Drosophila melanogaster: one gene and its partners. The protein of the gene in region 1 interacts with the protein of each later gene in a pairwise test. Each region holds a gene or a part of one and is shown on either strand. Other genes may lie near its edges.

Region 1 (5,767 bases):
CATAAATTCTTTTGGCATTTGCATTTAGCTAGTGACAAATTAAATCGTTTTCAAGTCCACGAACGCCAAAGCAGCAAAGATATAAATTTCGATTTCTAAAACGCTTTGTATTGAACCATCAAAATGCTTGGTAGGCAAAGCTATCGCCTAGGAAATACGATTAAGATGTAATGCCGCTTACTGTTAGATATACTCTAGTTAGTCGGATTATTGCTTAATTTAAAATAATTTATTCATAACAAATAATTATAAACGAAATTGAATAAATGGATCTTGAAAATTATAGAAAACATGCTGAGTTTTGTTTGCGAAGAGCCCGCAATGCCGGTTTATTTTTTTGTTGTTAACTTGGCGTTAATCACTAGTTTTATGGCTTAAGCCCTCCACGTTAATTATACACTCACCGACGGGCCCTTAAATATTTATTCAATATTTTTGAATTGATATGCGAGCAAACCAGTTTTACTTCCCCGATAAGCTGGTGAATTGACCTTTAACTACTTTTAATTATATTGTATTGGCCCAAAAAAAAAGGGGCTGAGTTGGAAATTAAGTGATAAGCACTTGCTTTTAGTTTGTAGGGTGAATGGAGAGCTATGGTAACACCTTTAGGTAAATATTTGCACTTAGATATGCATATTTATCAACTGCCATTAAACACTCTCCTTTGAATCATTAAGCCGGAAGCTTGACCAACTTCACTCCAATCAAACCATGTCTTGCCAACTCCCACACTATTTCCAGGTGCAAGGCATCTGGCCTGGTCGGCATCAGTGGCCAAAGCCACGTAACCCAATTAACCGGCGAAGTCGTAAAATGACAATATTTCCTAGAGCAATTGAAGGCTGATGATAATCCCAAACCCCCCTAAGAGTGTTAGAAAGTAGCTCACTTTCGTTACACTGCACAACAAAGTCACGTTCGCTGAGGAAAAAAAAACACTCCAGAAAGCGCTGCACACGAAGAGCAGGAAGAATGCGTGTAATCGAATCTTGAAGACCGAAAAATAAACATGTTAATAATACAATTTTATGATTAATACGCACTGAACTGCAGTGCGAGGTGGTGGGGTAAAGGTGGGGCATTTCGGAGGAGATCAGACTTGATGTTGCTGTTGCGGCGTCGAAAAGTGCGTGGGACGTCTTAGCTCGTAACCACTGAAGATGCTGGGAACAACTCGAGGAGGATTCGGACGAGGAGTGTGTGGAATGGGGCGTGGGGCCAGCGAGGCTTATTTATAAATCACGCACATAATGAAATTTCAGCAAGTGGTCGCCGCTGTCCGAAAAGCGGCAAAATATGCAGCGTTGATGTGGGATAGCATCTCGGGTGTGTCCGCAGCACCGCAACTCCGTGATAAATGCACATCTGCATAATGCCCTCCTCCAACTGTCCGCTGACATGCCGGCGACATAATGACGAACAGGTCGGGCCATTCATTCAACTTCCCTTTCCCTTGGATCCCGATGCTACTGTCGTGTTACGCATCAGTCCCGTGTCAACGGCAAATAGGAGTGGAGGGAGTTCCGAAATGGGGGACACTTGTACTGCATAAGTAGCCATTAATAGGTGCCATATGCATATCATTTTGGGCTCTGGTTTTAACGAGTAGTTCGTCTGTTTTGAATGCCTGCAGAGCGTGCCGTTTATTTACGATCTCCATTTCAAAAGAGCAAAAGTCTGGCCCCATCCACCGAGTTCCTTTGGATTTGGAGGTGGTGGTCGAAAACAAGGATGGACGCATTATCGGAAAAGGGTTCGCACGAATCCGATTTAATGGCCTTAAACGGGCCTACAATGTAAGCATGTTTCGGGATTGAGTTTCAGTTTAATGGCCCAAACGATCTACAATTGGGGCAGCCCAAGTGGGCGACTCCACCATAATAATTGGTGGATAAACTAATGAACTGAAGACAATAAGTAATTACCCATAAATATAATCACAGAGAGCGACTTTTAACCAAAATATTTATTCTTACAAATTACACAGCAGTTTTAAACAATATATTACATAATTGCAACTTAAAGCGCACAAACGAAAACTGCGCTGATCGTTACAGAATATTTAAAATAACATTTTCTATATAGAAAATAAATTTTAAATTTCCTATATTTTAAAGAAGATTACCCATTATAAAATTTTATTTTTTACTAAGGAAGCGGAAGATATGAGATCTGAAAGTTGACTACCACTTTTTCCACTCACTTCCTCAATTATTCAGCAGCGATCTGGCCACACTGTCGATGTTTACGCAAATTTTGCACGTGGGCGTCGCGGCTTACTCACGCGTCAAATCAAAAGAAACACAAACGAAGACAAAATGCCGCGTTTCTCCCAAGAGCAACAACAACAGCTGAGAACAAAACAGAAACGCAGAAAGGCAACAACAAGTTGTCGCTGCTCCAAGTTGCTCCAGCCAACAGCGCTGCCGCTGCCTCAGTCGACGCTGCGCGTCGATCATTCCCTTTGCATTTTCAAATTTTCAGTTTCAGTTCGCGTTGGAACGTTGAACAAGACGGTGCGTGTCCTAGGTGCTTCGATAAGTGATCAGTGATTAGTTTTGGCGATAAATCAGTAGCATCAATCGATCGAACTATCGCGAGAATGTTTCAGTTTTCAAACGCTTCCTAAGTGTGCTTTTGAAATCAGCCCGCGCTGTACAAAGTTTTTTGCCCATATTTTTAAATCCGATCGATCCTCAAGCAGCATCCTCTGCATCCAAGGTGTCCAAGATCGCGTCGCGTTCGCCTTAATAGCATAAAAGTGTTTTAATTTTTATTGGCACGAACGGGCGAGTCAGTTGCGGAGCAGTTGTCGTTGCTGGAGGATTGTAGGCATTGGCGTCGCGTGTTCTCCACCGCGATTCCATAAAATCGACTCCACGAAATCTTCGCGTGTGTCCCCATTCCAAAATCCAGCTTTTCTACCTGGCGCGTATTTCGAAAAGGGTTTAAATGGTCTAATGCATCCGTTTCGTTATCGATTCTTTTAGTGTGAAGATACCCTTGCGACGTGTTTGATCTTTCGCTCTGCAAAAGTACAACATAATAAAAGTGTCTGTGCGGGCGTCCAGGAAAAAGCGGCGGAAAAGTGTGGCAATACTCGTAAAAATAACTCAGGTCGTTTCCATTCTAAATTGCGCGTTGACAGCCGCAAGTGGCGCAAACGAGCCGCACAAACAACAAGGAGCTGTCAGTTCCGTCCCGCCAAGTGGATCACTTGGATCACATCCACATCCGCAGTGGGGGCACCTCTAGAGCAAGAGCAGCGTCCTTGACCACGAGGTGAGTGTGAAGGTGGGCCAGACCTCCGGGCTTCTACATATGCTGCTTATTCGTGTGGCCAAAATCTGGGCTACACTCCGCTCACTCGGAAAATGAGTGCGCCAAGTGGCCAGGTGCGAAGTGCATTCCATATTCAAGTGCCTGGAAGGTACTAGAGCATATTAAGTTGTTCTTAAAGAAGTTGCGTTAATAATGATGCATCATCTCATTTTTAACATATTCTCAGGATCGTAAAGATAAACGAAAGATATACGGAAGTAATCACGACTTGGGTCTATGTTTATTAATATCATTCATTTAGAAAGTTATTAATAGCTAAATGCTAATTTCTTGTTTTCAATCTTAACAGACTGTAGACTAAAGAATCGCATCTTCTAGCTGCACACCCACAGCAGTTTAACTCCTTTTCATTCGACTTTATTGCATGATAATCACCAAGTTGTTGATAGGCCAATCTATGAATATTTTTTATGAGCGCCTCACAAGATTTCTATTCATTTCACCGCCATTTTATATCTGATGATAAATCAAGCTAATTGTTGTTGTAATTCAAATACTATCGATACATATTAATTAGCCACACCCAAGTCAACCGCAATCTGGCGGCAAAATCGGCCTGTGGCATCCTCACCATTCGAGCGACATTAATCTATGGGGGATCTGGGGAGATCTTATCTGCATTGGCGCCATAAATACCGCAGTCGAGTCATAATTTATTAATTACCGGACTTTCCACACGTATTTAAAGCAGATCAGATTGAGGTTTATGCCTTTGCGAGAACTATAATTATGTGGATCATATAAGGTCAGAGCACAGAATATTTTCCCCTCCAACAAATATGAATTGTGATTCGAAACGGCAGCCACAGATTGCTAATGATGTTGACCAAATGAAGCTGGTCACATTCCCCAACAACGGTTAAAATACTTAATTTTATTTGGCTCGATTTCCCAATCACTTTGCAGCTTCTACTGGGCTCTGCTACTCAATTCCAAGCGATTCAATTAAAAGACGCCCACTGCAAAGATCCCCATAACAATTTATAACTGCCTGTTCGAGAGACATTTCAGACTTGCGGTTATTTTATTATTTGAATATATTATTTAGCGGCAGTGGCGTTGTGACCCGAAGGGGTATTAATCTTGAAGATGTAGTAACCAATAGTTGGGAGATACTTTTAGCTAGGCCTATGACTTCGTTGTATCGATGTATCTATACAATAGATAGATACTTTCCCTTCAATAGAGCGGACAAATAAGATCGATCTGTTCAGTTTTGCAATGAGATGTGACAGAAATTCACTGAATAATTATTCAAATATGGAGCTTGGTGTTTTCTTATTCTCTGTCCAAACATTGACACCCCTTGGCGCTCCACACAGAGATGACTCTTCAGACATGGTAATATCTTGCTGGCCATATTTGGAGCTCGAGTTTGACATTATTAAAACATAAATAATATTGCCATTGTTAGTTATGGAATTTCCGCTTGGCAGCGAGTTATGAGTTCATAAACAAATGCAAATTAAGTGGAAAATTGTTGCACCAGCAAATTAGCGCATCGTCAGTGGAAAGTCATTTGGACACCAATATCCGAACCTTCTGCGGCAAATCAGGCTAACAAATTTTAATGCTTTGTATTGACTTCAGTCGGAATTTGCAATTCAAATGGAGCAAAGTCACAATAGCAGCTAAGGCTATTTGTGTTGGCCGTTTGGACTGCGGGCTTCAAAACCAATTCAAGTCGAATGGAGACGCGACTTTGCCTTAATGGTTCATCAACATAAGTTAATGGGTTTTCGGTTTTGGCCTAATGACAGATTAAACACATTCTCAAGCGATTTGACAAGATTGCCAACGAAAATTGCGCCGAAATGTATACTTTTATCCGGGCAAGAATAGTAGCATCTATCACGCATATTATTTTCCTTAGATATTTTGCGAAGATATGCAAATTATTTAAAGACGACCACTGATAGCAAGGTGCGGTCCAACAAACACCTGGTAAAAATAAACATTTAATTATATAGCCGCTGTATAAATTTAATTGATGGCAATATAATACGATTTGAGACAGTTTCTAGCTGCTGGCTATGCTTACATCAAAAAGTAGTCATCATGCATGTTTAGCTCAACGCAAGATTAAAGATTCAAGATTACAGAGATTATAATAATACCATTCTTACGGGTCTTTAAATTGTGATTTATGCGTTTTTACACCTACAATTTCAATCATTTTTATGTACTCTGCTGTTGCGATTGAGCAACTTGGCAGGTGGCAATTACCATACCAGAAATCTCAATCACCCGACTTATAATTGACAGACCTTTCAATATTTTGAAATAGGACTCCATATAACACCTGAAAAGCCACATTTTCAGCTGTCAACTACTGCATTTTTGTCGAATATAAATAGTCAAAAATTGAATGGGAAAACGACGACAAAAAGACCGGGCCTAAATTCAAATCGATACAAATACA
Region 2 (4,090 bases), on another chromosome or scaffold:
TTGATTTTTAAGTGCTTTTGAATCAATGATATTTGGTACAGAAATTACCATCACGCTATCGTCCACATCAATATTCCAGAAGAATGTGCCTGAAAACCCGAATTCCGACCTTGAAATGCGCTCAATTCGCAGATTCATGTCCATGGCACTGGGATTTGTGGTGGTGCCACCAATCGACAATGGCGTTGCCTCCCAGTTGGGCTGGAAACAATAAACCATATTTAAAAAAAAATAAAGAAATATTTAGGAATATTTCTTTCTTAGCATACCTTTGCCGCACAACCATTGTAAAGGTTTGCAAAAATACACACTGATAAAAGCGATGAAATGCAAAACGAAATCATTTCTGGTTAAATTGACAATATAAGTTGCAACCTACTTGCTTTTATAGTCTGTCAATTTAGATTTATCTTTTAAAAACATTTGTGACACGAAAACATTGTGTACAATTGTGCACATTGTTAGATTATTGAAGTTGGAATAGGTGTAAATCATGTCAAGCTTATCTAAATTTACTGATCGTCACGGTATCACCCATCCAAATTTAGCAAATTACACAAATACACAACGCGCAAGTCATGCTTGCATTGGCTAAAAAAATTTTCTTTCATATTTGGATATGCAGAAGTTGATAATGTAGACGATAAATTCGTTGTAAATAAAATACAAAAATATAAATTTTATAAATATTAATTTAATACAATTTAATATAAATTCATTTTACACAACATAGTACAATTTGTTAAGTAGAAAAAAAAATGTTTGAACTTCTTAAGAGCCGCATATAATATAATATTAAATAACCTTTGGCGAGACCTTAACAATCAGGGTGAAACCCCAATCCACCTGTCCTGTCATTTTATACTCTAGCTTGTAGAAACCCTCTGGTGCAATATCTGGCAGTCCCTCGCCACTGGCCACACATTTGTCCAACTTGTAAACATTTCGTGGCCATGGTGGCACAAAATCGCCATCGAACTGCACCATATTGGAGCAATGGCCCACATTCTTGATGAACGCGTCCTTGTAGAAACCGTTTAGATATTCGAAAAATGGCTGTTTAGGAATGGACCAGGGCATCATTTTGTAATCGTCTTCGTCACCCGATGAGCAGTGATGAACGTCTGCCTCCACCTGTCCAGCGATTAATAACCATTTTCTTAATTAATAGAAACTTGATATTAAAATCAATATCTCAACCATAGTGTCCTTATCCACATCGTAGTTCCAGTCCAGTGTCATGGAAAATGCATAATCGCTGCGCCCAAGTCGATCAATTTTTGTGGTGATCTTCAAGAGACTCTCATCTGAGCTATAGGATGTCAATGATAAGGGCTCATACTCCCAGTTACGCTGTGGAATGAGCACAGAAATTATAAGTATCCTATTTTGTTAGAATATCCTGGCATACTCCTGCTTTGCAGCCATCGATCAGCAGCGTAGCGAGCAAAAATAGCAACGAACAACACGAAATCATTTAGCCAGACTTTAAACTTCATCAACTTGCAATTTAGTTGCATTTATATAGCAAACTGCAGTGGATTGCATGTATTAATTATATAACTCCCTGTTACATTTTGGGCTAACCATGTCAAACAAGACTGCATGCCAAAAACATGAAAAAATGTGTGGACTTTGAATATTAAATATGAATTTTGTTTATTGGTTGGTCTTTAGCTACAATTGAGCAAACTTACAAATGTATATTAAGTATTTGAGAAATGTGAATTTTTTTACACAATAACTGAAAATTCTCTTCCACTAGTAATTGTTACTGATCTTGAATTTTTCTTGAATATTTCTTACCTCCTTCAAGGACACTCATTTCTTATCGAAACAGCTAAAATATTTCAAATTTTTACCATTGATTTTATTAAACATAAGCGCAGTTAAAAAAAAAATGTGTTTATCTAAGATAATGGTTTTTACATTAATTTGGGTGTGATTTTAAAAACTGACGTAGTGTTCCATGTGGGTTGACCTGGTCCATAGCATTTGATCACAATCAGATAAAAACCGGCAGGAACAATTTCTGGCAACCCATCGCCATCGATCACGCATTTGTTGCCAAAATAGGTCTGCTTTGGCAATGGCGGTTGGAATTTACCCTCGAATTGCGGAATATTGGAACAGTGCTTAAAGTTCTTCATCGAAACATCCTTGTAATAGGTGTTCAGATGTTCGTATAGCGATTGCTTGGGAATGGCCCAAGGAAGCAGCTTGTAGTCGCTGACATCTCCCGTCGAGCTTCGAAGGACATTGGCCTCGACCTACGGAAAAATCACAATCCTTATTCAAAGGACTAACTTATCAAGTAAGACACACGTACCATGGTTTCATCAGTCGTATCGTAGTTCCACTCAACCTTGGCGTCAATCCAAACACTCCGCGATTGATTCGCTCAATTTTCATATCTAATTTTATTAAACTCTCATCGGATGAGTGGGTTTCGATGGATATGGGTTCGTAGTCCCATTTCCGCTGGATAATTCTTTAAATTATTACAAGATATATGGAAGATATGAACTGTGAACCTACCGCCGTTTGGCATTCACCTACGAGCAGGAGTGCCATACAAAGTTCAGCAATAAAACACCGGACAGACATAATTACAATATGAAACTAAGTATTGGGAAATCGGGCTTTATGCTTATATAGCCATGTCCATTGATAAAAAAAAATGTGCACATTGTCACGGCATTTTATCACACTATTGCAGATCTTTCCCACAGTACCTAAATGTATATGATTATATAACTATTTACAGCCATTAAATACGAATAGTCCATTGAAACACTTAAACTTCGCATAACTTTTTTATATAAGTATGTGCTTATTGTAACTGATATATTTAGTTTCTGATTTTGGAAATGTTTTTATTTCTGTTTTTTATTGTTTATGTTCTATTACATCATTGTATTACATTTATCTATGTACGAAGATACGAGTTCAAATTCAGAAAAACACGTGTATAAGCTCGCTTTAAAGGATTTAAAAAAATATTTGGCCGTATTTTATTTGATATATATTTATTGCTACATAGCTAAAACATTTTGTTTATTATTTTAAAAATTCCGATAAAGCTCCACGATGGCTGATCAGGTCCGGTACAATTGAAAATAATCTTGTAGAATCCAGGTGGCACGATATCCGGAAAACCTTCGGCTTCAAAGACGCATTTGTCACCGATATACGTTCGTTTCGGCCAAGGCGGTTGAAATTTGCCCTTGAACTGCGGCACATTGGAACAGGGGGCAAAGTTCTTCATTATCACATCCTTGTAGTAGGAGTTGAGGTAGTCGTAAAAGGTTTGCTTAGGAATGGCCCAAGGGAGCAGCTTGTAGTCGGACTCATCACCCGAATTGCTGCGGTATACAACAGCCTCCACCTATATATATAAAAAAAAAAGTATGTTGTTATGCAAGGAATACCGTTTAAGGAATTTTCCCACCATTGTCTCCTCAGTGGTGTCATAGTTCCACTCCACCCGCGCTGATATTCCAAACTTTCCACGCCCTAAGCGAACAATACTGGACTCTAATTTTATTAGACTGTCGTCCGAAGAGGTGGTTAATATCAATACAGGTTCGTACTCCCATTTCCGCTAAAAAAAAAAAATATATATTGGTAAAGATAGTTCATCAGTTTAAATACTGAACTAACCGCTGCTCCGCATCTACTGATTAGCCAAACTGCCAACAATATTAAGACTGACGAATAGCCGGAATCCATTTGGCCAATATGAAACTGGGTAAGAATGCTCTGTGACTTGTGTTTATATAGCCTGTTTAAATGACTATTTCAACGTTACACGACATTACTATCAGATTTTAATAGACACGTGGATTCTACACAAATCAAAAATGTTTTTAAATTCCAAAATGCACTATGTAAAACGATTTTATAACGCCAGAAGAATTCATTACAAAGCAAATTAGTGGAAAATGCTCATCGGAGCAAAATGATTACCAATAATAAAGAGATTCTATTTTGTAAAATGAAATAAGAACAATAATTTATTACTCATTGGATTTATTTATAGGATTATAAAAAAATAGAATCTTAAATATTAACATATCTAGAAAATTTT
Region 3 (6,904 bases), on another chromosome or scaffold:
CAAGATATAAGTTAAAAGGAAGTCATAAAGATTGGCTATACTTGTTCGCCCCGCTGAGTCTAGCAAATCGAAATGAATAATTTTAGTTGGCTCCAGTCGGAATGGTTCTATTTTTAAGCAGCCACTTGGTTCCCCAATTTATGCAAGACATTAAGCCAAACTCAAGGTTATAGGTTTGCCAAATGTACTACGAAATGGAAGTGCAATATGTGACCGGCATTAGAGGGTCCTTTTCCGAAGCATTTCTTGTCCGGCTGATTAAATTTAGCTTAATTGAGTCGGCGGCAAGGGGGGGGGGGGGTTACATCGCCCAGCGGGGGGGCTCAAGGTCAGCCGGAGACAAATCATAATTTCCGCAAAAGGTCACATTGTCTCGGCGATGCATGATCCCCAAAACAGAGAAACTGGGACTCTCATTATCGCAATCATCGCAATTGAACATCATTTGGTGTGGAAGAGGGCCATAAAAACGGAGCGCTCCTTCGTCCTTTTTGCTGGCGGGCCACTTTAACGCTCTCCCTCGACCACTTTGTCGATTGTGTCAATGCGATAGGATGCCCCCAAAAACGGACCATTCAAATGTATGCTCCTTTGCCTCTTTATTTCCTACGGGCCACTTTCACTGACCCGTTCACTGGGCGACACTTTTTGAAAATTGAAAGTAGCGCGCGCTTCGCCAGGAAGTCTGAGTCGCGAGCGAAGGATATCGACAAGGACAAAAGGACCAAACGCGTTCGAGCACAGCGGCCAACTGAAGCTGGTGGCAGCATGTGTTGCTGATTTTGTTTTTCCCTCCGCACAAGAAAAGCGGCCGAGCAGCTAGCTTCGTGTGGCACAGGACTTCGGGCTGACCGTTGATTTCATTTGCGGAAAATTCGTGGTGTTTCAAAAGACCAAAACCAAATGTAAATACAGACAGTTCGTTTCGAGAAAATCATAAAAATGTATTTATTAGCTAATTAGATGTAATGCAATTACAATTTGTTCTAAATCGTTTTTAGTTTAAATGTAATAGTAATATATAATATTCGATAAATTGCATTTCCGTTGGTGTTTTGTAGTTCACTATCATCATCAGTTTGTGTAAATATTAAATATTGCTAATTAAAAACATAATACATCAAAGCGACTTGTGGGTTGTCTTTTAATTGTACGCTAGCAATTATGTATGTACTAATGCTTGATACCTTTGCAATTGTTAATGCTTCGGTCTTTTGTTTCGATATCCGGTGGCTAAGGCTAAGCACTTTAAAAGTTAAACTTTTCAACAAAGCATTGCTAATTTGTTTTTTTAAAGCTGCGCTAATTGCTAAGTACAATAAGTTTTGTGTAATTCGAATTGTGAATTCTACAATGAATAATTCTGTAGGAGACAAATCACTAAGGGCACTACTTATTCGTTAGAAAGGCGTTTTTAAATTACGATACTCTCGAATTATTGCAACAATTAAAATTCATTGTCAAGTTAACAACTAATGGCGAATTGTAGAGATTGGAAAGGGTTTTTGTTAACACGTAGACTAGCAGCAAAAATTAACCAAAAGTATAGCACACAAAATTAAGATTAGGGCATGTGAATATGGGACTCATTAACTACTATTAAATACAAAGTACAGTGCGGAATGTAGAGTAATAAAACGATTGTGATTTCAAATTTGTAACATATATCATTGCATTGAGAGATCCATAGAGTGTGATTGGAATGTAAACATACTAAAACAACAATCAAGCACGTTAATTATTGTAAATATTTTTAGAATATTGTTTAAAATTGTGATATTCATAAGGAATCCATTTCGTTTCAACTCCATTATGCATTCAAGATATGTTGATCAATTTGTTCCCAAAAACATTATTTTGTTGGAGGAGAAATACGTTTAGAAAAATAGTTCTGGGTATGTGTGACTTAAACCCACACACCATGAGGATTTTTACTGGTTGGAACCGCCGTTTCAAGTTGCCTGGGCGAACCGATGATCCGCCGGCTGCTGCCCTGCTTGTTGGGTCCTTCCAATAGATGCTTGATCTCCTCCGTGGTGGTCACAGTCAGGCTCTGCAAATTCACCTCCTTCATCTCGTTGACCAGCTGCTCCACCTGCCGCTTCTTGTCCGCGATGGCATGCTCGATCATGAGTAGTTCCTTCTTTAAACTATCTGCAGTTTTGTTTGAAGTGTCAGTGTTGTGCAGAGCCTGGTCGATTTCACTCTGAATGCGCTCCATTTCCATCAAGAAGTCTCGCTCCACAGTTTGCCTGAAACAACCAAGAAGTGTGAAAAACTTAAAACAAAGCAAGTAAATTGCTATGCACTCACCTATTGGTCTGCTGTTGATGTTGCTGCTCCAGCTCAATGTCATCCATCAGCAAGCGCATTTTGTTCTTGCATTGTAGCAGCTCTGTTTCGCAATTGGCCAGCTTGGATCGCAGTAGAGCTATTTCTGATTTCAAAGTCTTCTCTTGCTGCTTGACCAATTCGTTTTCCTCTTCCACATACTGCAGAGTCTGGAGCTGTTCGCTTCCTTGCCGAAAGATTTGATCCGCCTTGGAAATCTCACGCGAAATAGCATCCAACTCGTGGGCGTGGTCGCGTTCTTTGCTCTCCAAATAAACTATTTCCGTATCGAACTAAGCAGATAAAACAAAAATAAAATAATAACATTCCAAATCAATTTAGAAACTTGAATATTTGTACCTTTTGCAATTCCATTTGCTGGGCTGTGATCTTCTCCCGCTGAAACTTGATGAGCTGCAGCAAATCGTTATACTGCGTGGTCTGGAACATGGGCTCACCCTCCTCCATGGCCTGGCTATTATTGTTGATGCTATTAGTGTTGTGGCTGCTATGCTGATCGTAGTCGCTGAGAAACGGATTCGTCGAGGAGGAGGCATTGGACATGGTGTCCGCATTGCTGCTGGCCAAACGCTGCCCCTGGCACATGGGGCTGTTTCTCGGGGGTGGCGGGTCACGATATGGTGGTGGGACTAGAGCTCCATTCGCGGAAATCGTCGGCGTTTGCTTGTACAGCTCCGGTGAGTTGTTATTGTTATTAACAATATTGTTATTATTGTTGTAGTACATTTCGTTGGGACTGGAGCGTCGGAGTTCATTGCTGGATTTGCTCAGCTGGCTGTATATATGCTGATTACTGCTGCTGTTATTGTTGTAGAAGTCATTGTAGCCATTTGTAGGTGCGGGTGGATTGCTACCCGTGCTGGTCATGTCCAGCGGATTGGACAGCGATTTCTCATGCTTTGGCACCAGTGGTGCTACATTATTGTTATCCTGCGGTGTCAGCTGCTCCTGTGGTGGACTCGCCGGTGCTCCCATGGCCGTTTGTTGTGACTGCAATTGCTGCTGCTGCGGAATTCCCTTGACGATTCCAATGTTGTCAAACTGCTTGGCATCGTGGCCCCTGAAAGAGACAAGTTTTGTCAGTTGATGGTAGCCGCACAGGTGCATATTTAAACACAGTTTGTTAGCCTATTAACAATTAGGGCTAGGTAAGCGCTTTAAGGGGTAGTTTCCAAACTAACTAGCATATAAAAACCACCCACCCGAAACTTTTTTTCAATTCCTTTGTGCGGTAGCTGAGTTCGACGTTCGACTTTTGCTTTAGCAAAGTGGGCGCTGGCTTATTATTGTTATTGTTGTTCGGCCCCAGCGGCTTTTTTGTTGTTGTCATCACAGCATAGTTGTTATTATTATTATTGTTCTGCTGCTGCTGTTGTTGTTGCTGCTGCTGCTGCTGTGTTTTGTTTTCCGAACGTTGTAATATAAACTGCACATCATTTGCATACTCGCCCCATTTGAGCAGCAGCTTCATTGGATTCTCATTGGGGGCCAGGTGGCGTTCGTTATTGCGCCACCTTTCGATTAAAGTGAATCTGCCCACTTTTCCAGTGGCATGGGCCAAAGCAAAAACCACATCCTGTGGAAAATAAAACGATAATTAGGGCAAACTGACTAGCAAACAGAGCGCATACAGTTCGGGTCACATTAACAGCACTGCAGCAGTGTAAAATGCTTTAACAAGATAATAGTGCTATTATTTTGACCTCTGCTGTAGCTCACATACCTGACATGTGGTGTTCACTGTAACGCCGCAAACTATCCGCTGGATGCCCTCGACCCAAACTTTCAGCTCCATTCCGGCTAATTGTCGTCGAGTCGAGTCTCTAAAGATCGGCCAATTATTTTCGTTTCTTGGTGTTTCTGCTACCAGAAAATTGCTTTCTTGTGCCGCTCCAGCTGGAAATGGGGTTCTACTAATGGTTTTTGGCGCTTGACTGGCGTTCTGCTGTCGCGCAGCCAGCGAAGCGTGTTAGCTGCACTCCGCCTTTCCACTTTTCCGTCTGCTTTTCCCCAACCCCACTTTTCCTCGCCTGTTTTTCTTTTTTGCTTAATTTTCCGATCACAGTTTCTGCTTCTTCTTCACTTGCACTTATTCACAGCAACAACAACAACACGACTGGTTCCATACGCTTGCATGAGTGTTTGCTGGGCGTGCGGGTATGCGCGCGTGTGTGTGTGAGCTAGAAAAATTCTGATTCACTTTTCGGATTTCCGATTTGGTGATTACTTTTGTACTTCCGGCGCGGTAACTCCGTGGTTCTTCACTTTCTAGTAAGCACGATAATCTTGTTGTGAAGCAGCTCCACTGCTTTTGTTTTGATTTCACGGATTTTTAACGGATTTAATCTAAATTTTAAAAGCAAACATTGTTGTTGGCATGGGCATCCAGTCGATGCCAAAAATCGATTGCACCAACAGCCAACCAGGGATGGCCAAACAGGTGTTTTTCAAGCTATCGATAGCAATGCCAATTGGGATTGCATGTTGTTGTAACAGGTACTTGCTATTATTTTAAAAAATTTTTTTGAGATTTTTTCCCTAGTAATAGGCTTATGTGCTTATATTAGGATAATTGAAATTCCTACATGGCCTTTTCTAATTTAAGAATTCTAATTTAAGCTCATAAAAATGATGATCTTAATTTTTGTACCACCAATTGAATATTGTCTATTTGGTTAACAAAAAAAATTGTTTCTTATAACACAATATAGATGCAAACGTCTTTTCGCTTTTCACCAAATAGTGAGTGCACACTGAAGCACAAATTTGTGTAAAACCTTGTGAGAACATAAGCTATTAAATTTAAAAAATATAATTAATGGAAAAGCTTATGTGATTCGAGGACTTCAGTATTTTTTCAGAATGGCTTGCCCCGTCGCCTGGTCACACCGCTTGACTCAACCTGGAATATTCGACCACCCCGCGAACGGTCACTCTTACTCGGTCACAAAACAATGCAATATTTCGCGGAGCAGTGAATTAATCCGGAAATAATCGTCCGTGCCCAGAGCTTTGGAGGCCAAGTACCAGGGAGCTAGTCCCAGAGTTGGTCGCAGTCTCAGTAAAAACGAATCGTAGCCAACCGCGATCCTTGCAACCGTGCTGTGTCGAACCAAAGAAATCCTATTGATTTTGGGTCTGCAATTGTGCATTAAATATTAAGCAAAAACGAGGGCTGGTCGCGTGGCAGCCAGTGGCAAATTGTTGCTCCTGCGGCATAGGCAGGACACCTGGATACAGGATGCGGGCAAGCCAGCGACGGACAACGGCGAGGCTTGTGTAGGACGGGCAGAGCAACTGCTGGAGGAGAGAACTGGACTGGGAGTGGAAAACCCGAAAGCCCACTGAATATTGCGCTTGTTTTTTGTTGCCTATTTTTTTCGGGGCGTGTGTGTGCCAAAGCGTAGCAAACAAGCACAACAATGGCCAACAGCAGCCGAAGTCGGGCCATTTTGAGCGTTAATCTCGATGCGGTCATGGCCAACGATCCGCTGAGGGAGCTCTTCGAGGCCTGCAAAACGGGCGAGATCGCCAAGGTGAAGAAGCTAATAACGCCTCAGACCGTGAACGCCAGGGATACGGCGGGACGCAAATCCACACCATTGCATTTCGCAGCGGGTAAGTGAGATGCGATGCGGTTAGATCCCATCCAAATCCCTTCCAAGGACGGTCTAAAAACGGCAGCCCACCCCACCATTCGCCCAACGAAAGGTTGAAGGACTCGCCCAAACCCCCCGCTGCAGTGCGGATTTGGCCTTGAGCTAGTTGCGCCTGGGTGTGACGGGCGTCATTGTCGTCGCTCTCGGTCGGACACTCGCCTGCTCCAATGGCGTCGAGAGTTGACCTAGTTTCCATGTCGCTTCTGCTTTTGGCTCTGCCTCCTCTTCTGCTTCTGCTTCTCCTTCCACCACCGTTCTATGTGTTCTATATGTTTGGCTTGTTTCCGGAAGACCCCCTCTCAAAAGGGGAATCCCCCGTGCTGCCCCTTTTGCCGCTGCATGTGTGCGTGCGTGCTGCATTTAAGCATTTTCTATTTTCAAAAAAGACTCATACAGCTGCGGTCGAGATAATAGCACTGCATAATTAGCCATTTCAATGAGAGCTTTCACTGTCTCAGCACTGGAAATTGAATGTTTAACACACATATATCATCTGATTAGCTTTGTTTGTTTACACGTAGAATCCCATAGATAAAGGTCTGCAACATATGGTCTGATTGTATAGCTAACCTGTTTCGCAGGGTTTAGTTAGATGCTTGGCCTTTAAATATTAGATTGGGTAAACAAAATAACTCGTGCTAACATATTTATTTTATTTACATTTTTCAACTGTGAGTGATCAAATGATTAATCCTTCGTAATACAAGCATGCATGTTTTTTAACTATTATTTCGACTGCTATTGTGTCTGTTTTTGTGGGGGTGACAGTGATAGTGGGCGGTGGGCGGGGCAGTGGGCAGTGGGGCGACTTGTTGTGGCTGCTGCGTTGTATGCGCCATCCTGCTGACGTCTTTGGCTCAATATTTTCGCGTCTTTTGTTGTGACTTTGGCCT
Region 4 (7,301 bases), on another chromosome or scaffold:
AATAAATTCATTGCAACGTTAAATACATCACAAAATGGCCGCTCAAAAACAGGCTTGAACATATAATGACTGCCTCTCATTCTCTGTTTCATTTTCACTCCCATATTATAGGGTGAAATATAATCGCGTATGCGAGAGTAGTGGCAACATATTGTGCTCTTCGATTTTTTGGCAACCCAAATTGGAGGCAGACGAACGAGATGATACCATATGCAAATTGTAGCTAATTTTCTCTCCCATATATATAAGACCGAAAACGGCTGTTTAAAAGTTCCCAATAGATTGCCAATATTTAAGTCTATATATTTCTGAGAATAAATTGACCAGATTAAATATTAAAGGCCATGTTTTTGTATTGCTTTTTTTATACCCCTTACTCATATATTTAAAGGGGTACACTATATTCGTTGAAGAGTATGTAACAAACAGTATGAAATGTCTCCGACTATATAAAGTATATATATTTTTGATCATAATCAAAAGCCGAGGCGATCTAGCCATGTCCGTCTGTTCGTATGAACGTCGAGATCTCAAGAACTATAAAATCAAGAAGGTTGAGATTAAGCAGCATATAGATTCTAGAGACAAGGACGCAGTGCAAGTTTGGTGACCCATGTTGTCACGCCCATTCTAACGTCCACAAACCGCACAAAACTGCCATGCCCACATTTTTAAACCATTTTTCCTATTTTTTTCACATTTTATTAACTTTGTAAATTTCTATCACTCTTCAAAAAAAAATTTGCCATGCCCACATTTTTTAACCATTCTTCGATATTTTTTCAAAATTTAATAAATAACAGCCCAAAACAGCTACGCCCACATTTTTGAACCATTTTTCAATATTTTAATATAATTTTAGTAGTCGTGTAGATTTCTATCGACTTGCCAAAAAACTTTTTTCCACGCCCACTCTAGCGCCCTAAAGCAGCCGAACCGGTTACGCCCACACTTTCTAACAATCGTTAAATTTTTTCTTATTTTATTGCCAGTATCTTTCGATATCCCAGAAAAATGATGAAATTTCGTTCACACGAACGGGTTTCTGATATTTGGGGAACTCGAATATAGCATTTTTATGTTGTTTCTTCTCGTAAATCTGTGGAAACAAATCGATTCCTTTTCCTATTTTATAATATAAAAAACTTGTACGCTAATCTTGGTACATTTTAACTGCGGTTACAGATCATGAATAGACTATATCAAAAATTACTTGCAAAAAATCGAACAAAATAAACTATGCTTATATTATAAACTTTAACCTTTTCCGTAACAATGCAACCGTTCCCAAAATCTTTATTTTTAACAAATAGAAAATTTTGAATATAAATAAATTTTTCGTATTATGAACTAAATTTTGTATTTAGGTACATATATGTATTAGGGTATTAGCTAATATATTTTTGTTTTTTTTTTTTTTTAATTAAGTTGTGAATATCTATTGAAATGTCTGAAGCAATTCCGCTCCTACCAATACTTTTATAAAAAAGTTCAATATTTTTTTAAATTTCCTGCCATTTCTATTCTATTGAAATTTTTCTATCTTACTCCCACCAGACGTGTAACATATTTTAATTGCTTGAAGATTGACTTTCGCTCACATCCACAGGGAAAACAAGAGAGAATGCAGTAGTCGAGCTCCTGACTCCAGGTACCAGTTAATCAGTTAGAAGCGTAAAAGAGAAATTTAAATATTTTTTAGGAATATTGGTAGAAATGGGGAAAAAATAATACAATAAAAATTAATTTAAATATTGTTCAAAAGTGTGGGCATAACAGTTTTGTGTGGTTTGTGTGCGTCTGAGTGGGCCTGCCCAAACAATTTTTGGCTAGCCGATAGAAGTTTGCAAGACTAAAAAAATATATAAAAAAATATCAAAACATTTTTCAAAAGACGGGTTCCTAAGATCTAATCTTTATACCGACAGACGGACGAACATGGCCAGATCGACTCGACAATTGATCCTGATCAGAAATATATATACTTTATAAGTTCGGAAACGCTTCCTTCTACCAGTTACATACATTTCATTGACACTAGTATAACCCTTTACGCTAGGAGTGCGTATAACAAAGTTACCATATCTGGTTTGTGTAAAAATACTGATGACAGACCGTTCGTCAAGAAATACTGACAGTTATTGTATAATTAGGTTAATTTAAAAATTAATTGAATTTTAGGACGGCTTATATTTGAAATATACTACAAAAACATAAAACTTGGTAAATTTATGAACGGTCTGCTTTCGGAATTTCAGCAGAATCGGTTGGCAAGCAATTCACAACGAAGAGCTATCAGAGCAAACCGAAAACACAAATCAACAATGTTGCAGCAAGAGTTAATACGTTGGTGTAAGTTTACAAATCAGTATTCATTAAATCTAGATAGCTCTTTGCGCTAAGAGTGCGTAAAACAAACAGTTACCATATCTGGGTTGTGTAAAAATACTGAGGACAGACCGTTCGTCAAGAAATACTGACAGTTGTATAATTAGGTTTATTGAAAATTATCGAATTATCGGACGGCTGATATTTGACATATACTAAAAACATAAAATTTGGTATATTTATGAACGGTCTGCTGTCGGTATTTCATCAGAATCGGTTGGCAAGCAATTCACAACAAAGAGCCATCAGAGTTAACCGAAAACACAAGCCTTTTATGCAGCAAGAGTTAATACGTTGGTGTAAGTGTACAAATCAGTAGGGACCACAAATTAACGTTCTTTTACGTATACAATATTTCAGATAAATCCCACAGGTATGGAACACCATAAAGACACCGGTCAATTGCACCACTACGTGCAGTACGGACTTTCCGAAAGTGCACAGATTTTCGGATGCGCAAAAGAGCATCACATCTTGAAGACGCTCTGAGGAAAACTGCTCCAAATCTAGTCCACCAGCATTAAACTACCGGTGGCTTCAATCTGGTTTAGGAAGAAGACCACAATAAAGTGATCAAAGATAATCAGGTCTTCACCAATTTAAAGTCTACTACTTCAACGAATGAGATAGTCGTCCTGCAGGCAAGGAGTCATACCAGTTGGCCGAGCAATATCAACAGCAGCAGATGGAATCGCGTGATGAATCTAGTATCTCCGTCAGGAAGACGGGCACGTGTACAGCGAGGACAACAGTGATTTTGGAGTGGAACAGGTGGAAAACCAATCCCAGTTGAAAACCAATCCCAGTTCGATCCCAATGTTGTGGCCTTTGTGCCTAGCTTTGACGCACAGAAATCCTCTCCCCCGCAGCCTGTTGCGGAAGTTTATCTACTTGGTGTTCAGCCCCGCTAACTTTTACCGCATGGCACCCTTGACGACCTTGTTGTGGAAAGTCTGCGTAAAGAATTTCAAAATTTCTGGAAGGGGAAACCTGTAGATGCAGCTGAGCTGTTAAATGATTTACAAACAAGCCGACATCTCGGGAACCATTAAAGAGACATTTAAAGTCAAAAAGTGGCCAACTGAAACCCGTTAAAATCCGCTTGCGACCGCAACTTGGCCCGACTAAGGCAAAAAATAACATAATCCTGTCAAGTCATGCAGACAGGGCGATTTACATTATAATTTTAAATGGCAATGGATTAGTCATCATCAGTACCTGCTTATCTGGTTTTCCTGATTTTTAAATCAAATCTGTGACTGTATCTCTTACCTTTCCTCTTGTACCTCGTTATTATAAAATGCGAAAACCCTCTGCCAAAGGACACTATAAAACGAATTTTTTAAAAGACGCCAAACAAAATGGCACTTTTTGTTGAGAAGAAAATATGCCGATAAGAACGTTTTACTTGTAAGACGCTGCAGAAAGATTAGGAACGAAAACTATCGACAATGTTTACTTGTATAATCTGAGCTTTCTAAAACACAAAAATAGTGTACTTTTACCATACGCTTAATTTCGAAATTAATCCGGGATATACAGTTGGGGATCCAGATTTTAAATTCGTGAACACAGCTGCTGGAGTAGGGCATTTCCTGATCGATCTGTTAGTTTTCGGACTTTTACTTTGGTTGTTGTAAACAATATCCGCAAGTTTCTCGCAAAGTGGGTTGCGTTGTGCCGTGCCTCAGTAGAGCACTACACACTACCTTCGATTGAGTTCGCTGGGATTTGGATTTCGTTCACAGTCCAAGTTTGGACCGTGCTAGGAGAAGATAATGATCCGATCACTCAATTAACTTCATGCACCCAGTGACGTCATCAGTGCTTTACTATTCGGTGTCTATATAGTCTATTTTGTTTAATTTCTTACACCCTACATTTCGATACGATTCGATTTTCGTTTGGAAATTGTCTGAAGGTAAACAAGCATAAATTGGACGTTCAAGCGTAAACAAATCGGTTTTCGGAGCAAAATACAAAAATCGTCAGTTGAGAAAGTCTCTCAAATGGCGCAGTTCTGCATTCTTGGAGTCCTCCTCATTCTTTCTGGAACACACTGCTCGTGGGGATTCCATGAAGAGACACATTATCCGTGTGCCTTTATCGATACGGCAAACATAACGGGGAGCTACGGCTTAGATGGCCCATTTGTGCACAACTGGACGGTGATTCCCCGTCACTTCGTAGCCGTGTACGACTTTGTCATCGAAAATGGCATCCGCATCCCCGCAAGCAGGCATCTCAGAGCCTGTGTCTGTAAGACCAAACCCTGTGTACGGATTTGCTGTTTACGGGGAGAAATCTACGACCTGGAGAAGAGGCAGTGCTTAGTCCCTGTGGCCGGGGTGTCCAGCCTTCCCTCCCATAGCCATATGGAGGTGGAGTTGGGCAACGGCAGTCTGCGTCTAGTGAAACTGCAACCCCGTTTTAGCATCCACGTGGAAACACCATGTGAGCACATGAAAGCCGTAACCAAGGGCTCGGAATACGTTCACTGGACACTTCATGAGGTCGGTTGTGAAATAAACCTTCCATCACATTAATGGCTTTACATCGCCTTTTCAGAACGGAACCATCAGCCACCGAGGACACATATTTTCTAAGCATTACTGCTTCACTCCGCTGCTCCATGGGAACTCCACCTGGGAGTGGCAGCCATTGGCCTGTGCACCAGAAAAACTATATTTCGTCTTGGGGGTGCGGGAGTGGACATACGCCATATGTAAGTAGCAAGAGGAAACATTTTTCCAGCAACTTTCAGCAATTCATTATCCCAAATATGCACAATACTGTTTTCACAACAATACATAAAAGTAATTGCTAAAGCACCAAAAAACAATCGATGATAGCATTAATAGTTTGATAGTCAGAATTTAATTTACCCAGCGTATTCACTTTCCAGGTCTCTTGATAGCTATTCTATCAATGTTTATCGTGCTGATGGTCTACCTTATGTGTTCGGAAATGCGCAACAGTTTCTACGGTGTGGCCATAAAGGCGTACGCCATTTGTATGATCTTGGGATATGCCCTACTGGCTTATCTCACGCTCCACAACCCAGCAAATCTCTCAAATGCGGCTTGTCGTATTCTACGTAAGTGGTAAATTTGAGTATTCTGTGATATTTAAACATTCCCTTCTTTTTTTTTTTTAGCAAGTTTGGCGTTGATGAACTTGGTGCTTTCCTTTTACATTCTGAGCTTTATTGCATTTAAGCTGTACTTGAGCTTTTATGGCGTTGTCTTCACAAAACTGATGTTTTGGCTAATATTTACTCCCATCGTACTGGTAGCCGTGGGCTGGTCTTTCTTTGTGGGTTTCAGTTATTACGGCTCTAGGCTCATCTTCGGAGGCGATACATGCTGGTTTGATCGTAAGCACTGCCAATCCATATATGTTTTATAATAATTAATTGGTATTCCACATCGCTAGCACGCAATTGGTCCGTTATGATATATTTTTACGCTCCTGTTTTCGTGGCTTGCGCCATTAGCGGTTTCTTCTATGTCCTGAGCCAGATCTACATCCGTGATCAGCCAGATATCGAGACGGAGAAGAGCTTCGAGTCCATAGAGAAGAACCGATTCAAATCATTTTGGAAGTACTTTGGCTACACGGCAGTCGTATGGGTCGTTTGCATATGCTCCTTTGCCTTTAACTACTACTGGGAGAACAGATCCCACCTTAACTACGCTGTAAGCTTCTGCATGGCCTTCCACGGGTTTGCGGCCCTCTATGCGCTGATTGGAAAGAATCAGCAAATCCAAAATTTTCTGCGGCGCATAGATAAGTAAGTTGATAACTATGAATTTTAAGTACTACTGTTAATATATACTGTTGCAGTGGCGAAGATACCTGTGAAAACTCAGTTCCGCTCTCGAGTTTTGGTTAACTTTTCTTGTTGTGCCCACTGTAGCGTTAGTGTAACTGGAAGCAGTTGAGTGTATCGACAATATCTGTGCAATGTTTTTAAAATCACTTATCAGCATAGACAAAAACCATGTATTTTAAATGTAAAATTTTGTAGGATGTGTGTAAAATATATTTGTAAAATTTGAACTCGAACAAAAAAGTACACTTCTACCCTTTAAACGAAATTACGATAATAAAGATACAAAAAATAAATATATCTGAAAAAAAAATCAGGTCTGGAATTTCTACAATTGTTAAATATGATAACAAGTCCCAACAATCCTTTCAGTATAGAACAAAACATGGAATATACTTAAGCCATGTGAAAGAACACATAACATATTAATATTCTAAACAATTTGAGCAGTTTTCTTGAGTTTACGCCTCCAACAATTTATCCTTCACCTTTCTTGAGTTCCAAATTCCTGGACCGTGATCAAGTTTCTCCAGTCTTATTTCAAGTCCCGATTTTACTGTACCCTATCCGCATCGCCAAGCCCGGTGTTACTTCCCCGATCTCTCTATATTATAAATGTGCGCCGATTTTATTTAACATCAGAGGTCAATGGCCGCAAAACAGACAGAGAGAGAGAGAGAGAAAGTTGGTCAGAGCCACGAGAACTGCATCCCGACAGGGGGCTGTCAAGAGCAAGGAATCAAGTGGAATGTTGGTGGTGCTCTTTTGAAAAGGCTTCGCAAACTTTCCCCCTGTACACCCCCTTGCCAAGGCCTAATCGCAGAAAACCCACCCGGGTCGGAGTCCCCAATTCATTTTCATGCCGATTATGCTTCGGGTTTTGGTCCTGCTCTTTTTGGCTGGGCGTACAGCAGCAGGACTCGGGGTACACACTAAGAGAGGTCTAAGAATATAGAGATAGACAAGGAAAGCAGATGGATCGATAAAACGTAGTAAAAATGCTCGTAGTAATGGAAGCTGGAAATAACATGGCACAAACAGGCCCCAAACTGCATCGACAACACCATCACAATCCAGACGT

Evidence for each region.
Region 2: the proteins of Tsp (region 1) and CG18539 interact in a two-hybrid assay, tested with the Drosophila melanogaster proteins (one large-scale study listed by BioGRID).
Region 3: the proteins of Tsp (region 1) and RASSF8 interact in a two-hybrid assay, tested with the Drosophila melanogaster proteins (one large-scale study listed by BioGRID).
Region 4: the proteins of Tsp (region 1) and mthl8 interact in a two-hybrid assay, tested with the Drosophila melanogaster proteins (one large-scale study listed by BioGRID).

What each region holds. Positions count from the first base shown.
Region 1 is NT_033779.5:6,705,805-6,711,571, reverse strand, and holds the start of Tsp (thrombospondin), read left to right. Parts: upstream 1-2,485; 5' UTR 2,486-3,285; intron 3,286-5,767.
Region 2 is NT_033778.4:18,295,587-18,299,676, reverse strand, and holds CG18539 (uncharacterized protein), read right to left. Parts: upstream 1,497-4,090; 5' UTR 1,478-1,496; coding exon 1,412-1,477; intron 1,354-1,411; coding exon 1,201-1,353; intron 1,135-1,200; coding exon 796-1,134; 3' UTR 774-795; downstream 1-773. Other genes in the region: CG18540 (uncharacterized protein), read right to left, coding at 49-201, 270-344; CG18538 (uncharacterized protein), read right to left, coding at 1,926-2,270, 2,326-2,481, 2,560-2,607; CG18537 (uncharacterized protein), read right to left, coding at 3,044-3,388, 3,452-3,604, 3,664-3,732; CG18536 (uncharacterized protein), read right to left, coding at 4,079-4,090.
Region 3 is NT_033777.3:25,659,658-25,666,561, reverse strand, and holds RASSF8 (Ras association domain family member 8), read right to left. Parts: upstream 4,768-6,904; 5' UTR 4,148-4,767; coding exon 4,076-4,147; exon of another isoform or gene 3,929-4,075; coding exon 3,555-3,928; intron 3,413-3,554; coding exon 2,692-3,412; intron 2,625-2,691; coding exon 2,314-2,624; intron 2,253-2,313; coding exon 1,907-2,252; 3' UTR 922-1,906; downstream 1-921. Other genes in the region: Tnks (tankyrase), read left to right, coding at 5,775-5,970.
Region 4 is NT_037436.4:19,796-27,096, forward strand, and holds mthl8 (methuselah-like 8), read left to right. Parts: upstream 1-2,632; 5' UTR 2,633-2,687; intron 2,688-2,748; 5' UTR 2,749-4,397; coding exon 4,398-4,901; intron 4,902-4,956; coding exon 4,957-5,113; intron 5,114-5,293; coding exon 5,294-5,485; intron 5,486-5,545; coding exon 5,546-5,764; intron 5,765-5,823; coding exon 5,824-6,181; intron 6,182-6,234; coding exon 6,235-6,283; 3' UTR 6,284-6,513; downstream 6,514-7,301.